Saccharomyces cerevisiae S288C: one gene and its partner. The main gene of each other region encodes a partner of the protein of the gene in region 2 in a complex. Each region holds a gene or a part of one and is shown on either strand. Other genes may lie near its edges. A codon is read from its position in the direction of its gene.

The links.
Region 1: the proteins of YCS4 (region 2) and BRN1 are in contact, whole or in part, in a cryo-EM structure (PDB 6YVU), measured with the Saccharomyces cerevisiae proteins. Residues at the interface, in NP_013374.1 of Saccharomyces cerevisiae: Glu365 (codon at 2,505), Gln368 (codon at 2,496), Asp369 (codon at 2,493), Ser370 (codon at 2,490), Arg375 (codon at 2,475), Arg405 (codon at 2,385), Ser406 (codon at 2,382), Gln408 (codon at 2,376), Asp409 (codon at 2,373), Arg410 (codon at 2,370), Trp589 (codon at 1,833), Ile641, Ser646, Arg742, Asn786, Tyr789, Pro790, Glu793, Lys805, Asp807, Arg815, Val840, Val841, Lys856, Tyr860, Lys863, Cys864, Ile917, Arg957, Thr958; in NP_009455.3 of Saccharomyces cerevisiae: Thr166 (codon at 1,105), Leu167 (codon at 1,102), Phe170 (codon at 1,093), Thr172 (codon at 1,087), Ile173 (codon at 1,084), Lys174 (codon at 1,081), Ile184 (codon at 1,051), Asp185 (codon at 1,048), Pro186 (codon at 1,045), Phe188 (codon at 1,039), Ala191 (codon at 1,030), Leu192 (codon at 1,027), Phe195 (codon at 1,018), Lys201 (codon at 1,000), Leu203 (codon at 994), Leu204 (codon at 991), Leu205 (codon at 988), Asn206 (codon at 985), Asn209 (codon at 976), Ile210 (codon at 973), Asp211 (codon at 970), Asn212 (codon at 967), Thr213 (codon at 964), Ala214 (codon at 961), Arg215 (codon at 958), Val216 (codon at 955), Ile217 (codon at 952), Phe218 (codon at 949), Asp219 (codon at 946).

The regions. Positions count from the first base shown.
Region 1 is NC_001134.8:38,759-42,430, reverse strand, and holds the start of BRN1 (condensin subunit BRN1), read right to left. Parts: upstream 1,601-3,672; coding exon 1-1,600. Other genes in the region: BNA4 (kynurenine 3-monooxygenase), read right to left, coding at 1,904-3,286. UniProt on the Saccharomyces cerevisiae protein: Regulatory subunit of the condensin complex, a complex required for conversion of interphase chromatin into mitotic-like condense chromosomes.
Region 2 is NC_001144.5:683,606-689,335, forward strand, and holds YCS4 (condensin subunit YCS4), read right to left. Parts: upstream 3,598-5,730; coding exon 67-3,597; downstream 1-66. Other genes in the region: protein phosphatase regulator PIG1, read right to left, coding at 5,478-5,730. UniProt on the Saccharomyces cerevisiae protein: Regulatory subunit of the condensin complex, a complex required for conversion of interphase chromatin into mitotic-like condense chromosomes.

The DNA of each region.
Region 1 (3,672 bases), on a different chromosome or scaffold from region 2:
TAACGTCGCCTCTGGTATGCTTCCTATGACTGAACAGACTCATTTTCTGCCCCGGTTTAATGAACAATCTTGTTATTCTATCAGTGGAAAAATGGAAGTCATCCGGCAGTAAATAATGTGTGTCGTTCTTTCTGTTCTTAATCGGCATGTCAATCTTTGTCCTTCCTTTTGAGGCAAAGACTTTGTCTTCAAAACTATCATCCGTTTTGAAGAAATCAATTTCCAGAACCTTTTTTTGTTTATGCTTCTTCTTCGTATCCATCGATTTGTCGTCCGTTGTGTTTTTGTCAGTAGTATCTCCTATAGTAGTTCGCGTTTCTTCCAACAGGTCGGATTCTTTATTCACTAAGTTTGCTTTCTTAAAATTTCGTACTTTCCAATGTTCTCTCCCTCTCCAGTTTCTATTTAGATTTTCGTCAAAGTATGCCATCAAATCTTTTTCGAATATACTTCCTGTGGTACTGTTGACATTATCATCATCTTGTTCATCATGTGATGTATTGTCATGATTTTCATCTGGATAGCACAGCTCCTGTTGCATGCCCATATCAAAGCCATCGCTATCATCTTCTGCATTATCTGGGACAGCTGCTTGCAATTCTTCTTCAGTTAAGAAGTTATCAAATCTGTTGTTAACATTTTCGATAAAGTCTTTCGCTTGATTAATATCTTCGACAACGTTCCTTAGTTGCTCAATCGATCCTGAAATTTCACACACCGCAATTTGATCAAATTTTATAAAATCCATACCAAGAGATAAAATCTCATCTTCCATGGAAGGTGCACTAATAACGGAATCATTTACGGTTGAGTCATTACGAGTACTTATCAATGACTGGCTAGGTTCATTTTCGTCATCTACTAAACTATCTCTTTCAATTAATTCTTCTTCTTTCCTTTGAAGTTTACCTTGCCCTACGTTTTGTGTATCCTTAATTGATGCATCGAAAATGACTCTTGCAGTGTTGTCTATGTTTAATGTGTTCAACAATAAACTCTTGGCGCCACCTTCATCGAAATCAACCAAGGCCTTTTTGAATAATGGATCAATTATTAATTCCTGGTCTAGCTCTTTCATCTTGATCGTTTCGAACTCCACCAATGTTGTTTCTAAAACTCTGTTGTACACTCTCCGCCTAGTGTTATTCACATCAGGATCATTAGATATAGGCATACCAGTTAAGGGATCAATCTCTATATTTGCTTCGTCACTGTCACCTCCAAGCCCTTCACCATTTCCCCCGTTACTGTCATCTCCGTTAGATGCCCCATTCGTCTTTCTTTGTGCCAACCCGCTCAATAACTTACCTGTTTCCGTTGTCACTGAATCAACTCTCGAAGAGTAAATCTTAATACACCCATCCAAGGTTGCAGATGCTTTCTGAAAATTGATGTTATTCTCGCCATCTTTCAAAACGTCCAAGTCATAAAAATAGTCGATCAATGCGAAATTCCAACTATTTCGGGAATTGATTTTATTATCTGTAGCCATTTTGATCCATTCTTCAAAATTTGCCATCATGGTGGATCTATTGGTAAAGAGATTATATTCTACTCTTTCATCGTCATCGTTATTTTCATACCTTAGTTGTGTAGTCATCTTATATAACTACCTGCTGGTTTTTTTTGCTCCAAAAAGTCCACTAAGATGATTTTTTGGTGCAATAAATAGAGTATTTAACTAGCCAATATAAAAAGTTCAACCATATGGATATTATCTTGACAATACTTCACTAAAATGTAAACAAAGAAAGCGCGAACAGAGCCGTTTACCGTTTCGCGTGATCAACATCACATAAAATAATTAGTGTATTATATATATATATATATATATATATATGTATATATCACTTATTTTAATAATCCTCTCCTAGCGTACACGGATGGCAAGAATAAACTGGCTTCAGGAACGTTCTCTTGTCAAAAATTTGAAAAGCTTGTAACCGCCAATAGATAACATACCGAGTGTCAGAGATTCTAAGAATTTCAAGATACGTGTTTGCTTTCCAGCCCTTTCTAAAGCTCTAGAATACGAGATATCGGATCTGAAAGATATCATTGTATACAAAGGTATCCACTTATCCTTCATTATAATACTAAAGAGAGCATCTAGCTTTTTCCTTAATAAAAACCGCTTGGATGTAACGTCATGTGACATTTCTTTATAGTTCCTTTTTGCCAGCTCAGTAATAGAAACTAGGTCCTTATGTCTTGTTTGAGTGTACTCAGTAAAGGCTCTTGAACGATCTCCTGAATGCTTTTTCAATAGCGCCATAAGAATTCTCACATCTTCAAATCCGCAATTCATACCTTGGCCGTAAAATGGAACCATTGCATGGGCAGCGTCGCCGAGTAGGATGGCCTTTCCGCCTGGTACATCGTATGGCTTACAGTTTACACAGACAAGACTTTCCTTTGGATAAGTGATAAACCTTTTGACAGCATCGTCCAAATCCATAATATTAATAATATCGGGAAAGTTCTCGATTAAGAATTCCCTCACACGTGACTTGGAAGTTATCAGATCTGATATTTGATCTTTAGAACCGAAAAAGGTTGAAGTGAACGAGCCGTCACTGTTGGCGAGCGCAATTAACATGAATTTATGACGAGGCCAAATGTGCAAATGGTCAGGAGCTATTGCAAAATTTCCGCCATAGTTTGGCTTGAATTCCTCAGTAGGCGGGATGTAAAGTTCAATGTAACGTAAATTCATATATTCTTGTGAAAAATCCATCTCAACTTTACGTTGCATTTGCGATCTCGTCGCAGAGTATGCTCCGTCACAACCTATGACAAAATCATACTTTTCAGTATGTGGGGTTTTCAAATCTTCCCCAATGGCAAAATGACAGATTTGTTTATCATCTGTCCATTCGATTTTGACTAATTTGTGACCGAACTTCAGTTCTGTTGTAGATTTTTCTAATTCGTCCAAAAGGCTATTATTTAATACAGATCTATTGATAGAATTAATAGCTTCTCCATGCAAGCCATACAATTGTGATTCCTGTCTGCCTTTCAAGTCATGAATCATCCTGCCTTTCATGGGAATCATATCTTGCAGAATATGTTCACAAGCATCCGGATCTATTGATTTCAGAGCATCAATGCCACGAGCAGAAATAGCCAAATTAATGGATTTCAAATTTTTATTTTTGGTGGTGTCCAATCGAGGATCTTGTCTAAAATCATATAGTGTGACATTGTAGCCTTCTTTGGAGAATGCCAAAGCTGCAAGGCAGCCTACTAATCCTGCACCTATAATGGCCACTGATTCAGACATATTTTCAAGTTAAACAGATTAACTGACTACGTGATTTTTTAACTGTCATTCAATATTTTATTATTAAAAACAACGTCCGTGCCAGAAATTCGGGCCTTTTATAAGAAATAGTGGCGGAAAAAAGAGTCAGTGCTAAGAATGGAATAAACTAGAGGCTATTGTGGGAAAAAAAAAAACAACTCCAAAATAAAAACCGCTTGCAGGCGATATTTCCTTATTTTTGTAGTAACTCATTTCCTTAGAAGAAAAGTAGGGGCATTATTTACCATAAGAATAATAATAATATATAATAATCAAAATAAAAAAATTCTAAGATATTTAGATTTTTCAGGGTTATTGTTTGGCTGCACTTTAAATTTAGTTATGTTTTTTTTCGTTTTTTTTTT
Region 2 (5,730 bases):
GAACAGCTTTTATTTATATAATAACATATAATATAAAACGGAAGAAACGGGTAAACGTCAGTTCGATTATTCTTTTGCGGATACAACCTTGAAACCTTGCTCCAATAATGCAGTGACGTCTTCATTTTTGTATGGTAGATTGTTTAGTACGAATGCAATATCATCCCATTGCTTTTGGGTCTCGCACTTTCTCAGTCTTCCAACTAATTTCTCGTTTAATTGCTTTTGGTGCCGTTCCTTATCGATAAAAGTTAACAGAAATTTGATGATTTTCTTGAAACTCTCCTTACCCAATAAATCATCTGACGATAAATTACTAAAGATATCGATGAATCCATTATAAATGGCGTTGTCCTTGGATGCTAACTCGGTGAAAAATAATCTGCACATATCACTTATTCCCTGGTCTGGATTGTCTAGGCATTTGGCCATTTCTCCTAATTGTCCTTTAACCTTAACCTGTCCAGCTAAAATCAAGAAGGTAACTGTCATTAAACATGTTCTTTGTACCATTAAGTTTTCATCATGCAAACGGCGATACAAATAATCTGTGTTTTCGTCTACTAAGTTGTTGAAGCATACTGCCATGTCACCTAGTCCTAAGACAGCATTTGAGCGAATAGTAGGATCAGGAGATTTTTCCATTACTGTGATTAATAGCGGCAGGCTCTTTTCACAATATTTTGATGATAAACACATTAGTTTTTCTAGACATAAGGTTGCCGTTCTTTGAAGCATTGGATCGCTAAACCTGCTTGAATTAGAAACAATCTCTTCTACAATTGGGCAAAACTTCCCTAATATAGATTTTTCTCCAAATAGTAATTCATTCTCTTTTACAAATTGAATAGCATCCGTGAAATCGTCCTCATTAGTACCTCCTATCATTTCTAGCTCTTTATCACCACCGTTATCTTGTGTGGTGTTAGTTACATCTGCACCTTGGTTTTTTACTTTACCGTTCCGAGTTTCTGCCTCGATCTTTCTTTTCTTGAATTCTGCCTCACATTTCTCTAGATAGACAAGTGTTTTAATTGCCACTTGTCCTACAATGAATAATAATTGACTGAGAGAAACAACTCTAGATGATTGTTCTAACGACAAAATAGAGTCTTCCTCTTCAGGTTTACCAAATGTCATCATTGTCTTTTCTCTAATCAGATCTGTAGCTAGTATATCGGGCTTAGAAGAGATTGTAAACAGTGCACTAAGCGCTTGTTCGCACATAGGATAATATTCATTATCCTTGGTATAGTTGATAATTATGGCATACAACTTTTTCACTGCAACATCTTCAAGCTCTTGATTTATTGCCTTGGTAATAATAGTGCTTCTCTTGGGAACCATTCTCTCTAACGCTAAACAAGAATACCGACAAAGGGTCAGATCTTTTAAACCAACGGCACCAAGTCCAATGTTTAAAAGTGACTCCAGTCCTTTTAATGCTATTTCGTTATCGGCTAACGATAACATTCCTAAAATAATAATAGAACCATGAATTTGTTCCTTAGAAAACCCTTTTTCGGAGTCACGGTTGTTCACATTTTGTTCTTTCTGCATACTGGCCTTCGATGCAGAATTGTAAATAGCCCAAAGGATATTAATGACATGTTGATCAATCAATTTTTGTTCATACATCATTCCTAATAGCTGTTCCAAAGAGGCCAAGTCTGCAATAGATGCGCCGATGCTTAGATTAATTAAATTTTTGGCAATATGTGCCGCCTTCTCCTGCATATTGCAACTATCTGGCGCGGTTAAAAATAGCTGCTTATAACATTCTATCAAATGTACTGATATACTCGTTCCTTCATCGTTTGTGCCCTTCATCCAAACCAAATGCAGCATTTTTTTTATACCAAATTCGCTTAACTCAATGTCAAAAGCGTCTGCTAAAACTAGGAAGTCCATTGATTCTAAAACTTCGTTTCTGTTCTTAGAAAACAGCAAATTAGATATCAATTCAATACTCTTGTGTATCTCTTTAATGAAACTAATGGCATCTTTATAGTAAACAATCATTAACTTTAGCTTCATGAGAACACTGGTATTTGTTGCATTTATATTCTCTACCTCATTTTCTATTCTAGAAAGTTCTGCGCTCTTATTGAAAGAACCTTCTAACTCGGTCCTACATTGACCTTCATCTTGTTCTACCTCTTCTTCAATCAAAGACCTTTCAATCGTGTCATTCAGAGTTTCTTGTGACTCTACTTTCTTTAAAGTGGAATTTAGCTGTGATTCAGATCCTTTGAGATATTCTTCCCATTCACTCAGCCTCAATTGGCTACCATGTATGGCCTTAAAAGGATGTTTTAGCAATAATTTTGAAAGTAACTTTACTGAGTTCCTACGAACTAAAGAGGAGCGGTCCTGCAATGATCGTACTGCCAACGAAGTAAATTTAGCTTTGCTTTTGTTAAATTTCGAACTCAAATCGCAGATCTTTGAACACCCTTGTATCGCCTTCGTTCTAACGTAGGGATTTGAATCCTGGAATCTTTCTTCTAGTAACTCAATAAGTACGGCTATTTGTTGTTTATAATGTTCCATAGTTTGTGGGTCTTGAGCCAATTCAGCCACAATATTTCCACATGCTTCTACAACGGAACATCTCAATGTTATAGAACTATTGTTGAGTAAGGTGATGACAAGATTCATCTGTCGAAGCATTATTCCTGGTGATAGCTCTGATAATTTAATCAAAAAATTTGATATTGCCTTTGGGCCTGTGGTATCCTTTGCGTTAAATACCCTGGTGCTGATTTCTTTCAAGATATCTTCTGTTAGTTGTGGATAGTTATATTCATCATTCAATAGTTTTAGTAATTCTGCATTAAAAACCGACAAATGAAGAAAATAAGTTAAATTTGTCATCAATGAACTTTGTATACTTGAACTTTGACCGTGATTTTTAACACACATAGCCAAAATCCTTTGAATAAACATCTTTAGTGATGATACCTTCGTCACAGGTTCAATCTCTAATAACACAAATAATGGTCTTGTGAACAAACCAATAAACAAATCCTTTTCAGGAGTTGTCTGAAATATCTTAGATAAGTTAATCTCCAGTAGCTTTGTTATAGATTCAAGCAAGTTTTCCATTTGATTACAGTCTCTTTTAAACAGCTCGACGTTTGCACTATCATTCTTACTGTTTTTGGCAGAACGGTTTAGATTGGTAGACTGCGAGGAGACCTTATGTAACTCATCTTGTAAAAACGTCAAAAGTACCTGAATAAGGTAGCCATACTCTTCTAAATGCCTTTTCCACTGCGGTATCAGGCCACCAATTTCAGTAAAGTTAACATTTGATGAGAGATTAGCCTTAATATCTTTTGACAGATTCGACAGAGATGAACTTATCAAATAGCTTAGTTGAGTTTGTAATTTCGGTGTTAAGTGCGGGAAGTCATGGCAAAGATCTATTAATGCTTCTAGTGAATCTGGACTAGCATCTATTTGTTCGGGTGAAACGGCCAATTGGTCTATGATAACATTCAGTTCTCTGGATGGGTCCTGCAAGCGAGGATATGATTCTCGATCTGTTGTTTGGAACTTGGTCAGATACTCGGAAAGGCTAAAGCCGGACATCTCATAAAGTAACGAAGTCAGTTACCACCTATCAAAGGATAAAGATATTGTTACTGCTGCTTCCTTTACCTTTCTTTTTTTTGGTCAGTGACAGGTTATTTTCTTTGTTTACTAAATGGTCGCAAGATTTTCGCGATGCGTTTAATTTTCATATTATTGCTTTCCAATTTACCCAAAGTGCAATTGACAAAGGCCATTAGTCTTTCTTTTTACAACAGTAAGAATATAAATATACAAGTGCAGTATTTAAGATACTTAATTCGAAAAGTGAAAAAAAAAAAAAAGAATCTGGAATTGGTTATTTTAATTTCTCATATGAATTGCTTTCCAAATTCTTGCAATCAATAACATTTTTTATTTATTTTTTTTTCAAGATCAGAACATGTATATATATATATATATATACTGTTCATACCAACAATTATCATTTAGTAGTAAAGTTTGTGATAACGATCAAGCTAGAAACTCCATAGATATCCTGACCCTTACTCGTTGTAAATAAAAGGCTCGCGACAAGAAAACAACGCGTTACTTGATAATAATTTTAAAATCAAACAAAAGAGGTGGGGGAAAGAAGCCCTTACTATTGAATAGCAGACATTTTATTCATCTCGCAATACTACTACATTTCTATGAAATATAACAGGTATAAAAAATGATTTCGCCCAGGATCGAACTGGGGACGTTCTGCGTGTTAAGCAGATGCCATAACCGACTAGACCACGAAACCTATTATTTATGTTTAATCCACGTTACACCACCAATTATACAAAAATAAAAAAGAATGACGGCAAAAAAGCAAAAAGTGACATTAATCATATTTGTTTATGTCTTATTCTACTGGTAGTATTCATCCATTAGTATATTACTCTCTGTATAAGGTTATAATGTTGAAATGATAATCAACTATTGTGTATGATCAATTGGTGAATAATTTGATAATTGTTGGGATTCCATTTTGCTTAAGGCAATATAATATTATGTATACACAATATACTAGAAGTTTCTCCTCAAGGATATAAGACTCAATAACATGGAAACAACATTTCTCCACAAAATTTTGTAATTATCTTTCTTCCATTTTATATGTTTCACATCCTATTAATCCTCAATTCTCGCATGTTCGGTTTCATATTAAATTTGACTACTGTTTCACATAGTATATTTGTTGAAATGAAACTCTAAAATATCATTTATTAGTAGTATTCATGTTACTAGAATCTATTATCATATGCGGTGTAACAAGATGGCATAAAGATTGGGAAACAGTCATCAAATATAATGGAAGCTGAAATGCAAGGACTGATAATGTAATAGGACAATGAAACATATAAAACGAAAGGTGTAATAATTATAAGATTTTGTGGAGAAATATTGTTTCTCTTTTATTGATTCGTATATTCTCGAGGAGAACTTCTAGTATATTTCACATACTCAATAATATAACGTTTACTAAAGATGGTGTTAACATGTTAAAAAAACTTCGATTGTTAAGAGTCCTTTTGTTATACAACTCTTTAAACGACTGTTTAAACCTATCATTTCATCACAAACTGTAAAGGTAAGAGTTAAAGCAGATATATCACCTATCAACTGCAGCTAAATATCGTGAAATGAAAAACTAATCGTTATTTGCACCAATAAAGAACGAAAATCCCCCACTGAATTTAAAATATTTCTAAAGAACTAAAGTCATTTCGACTAATGAGAAACTAAAGTCAGAAACAAAAATGCAAAAGCAATATTAACTTATGTGAGCAAAATATTTCATATCTAATCTATGAAGGCAAAAGAATATGATTAACTATTTTATTAATTTTAATTAAAATTTTATTCTCTTCATTCCAAGGATTTTGTTATTATTGTAATATGGGCGATGGTTAGGGTGACGGCGACTTATAAAAATAATCACGAAAAATGTGAATTTTATTAGGGCTAAGAGAGGTTCTCTCCTCATATTCTCCTGAGCTGTCACTCATATTATCACCTGGAAAAAATGGTAATGAGGTTGTGGTATTCAAGGGAGAAATTTCCGGAGATGAGCTTTCCCTCCCGCTGTTGATATAATCTTGGTATAGTAAATCTTCTTCCGCCTTTATGGTTGCAATGGATAACTGAGAACAAGAGGCTGAT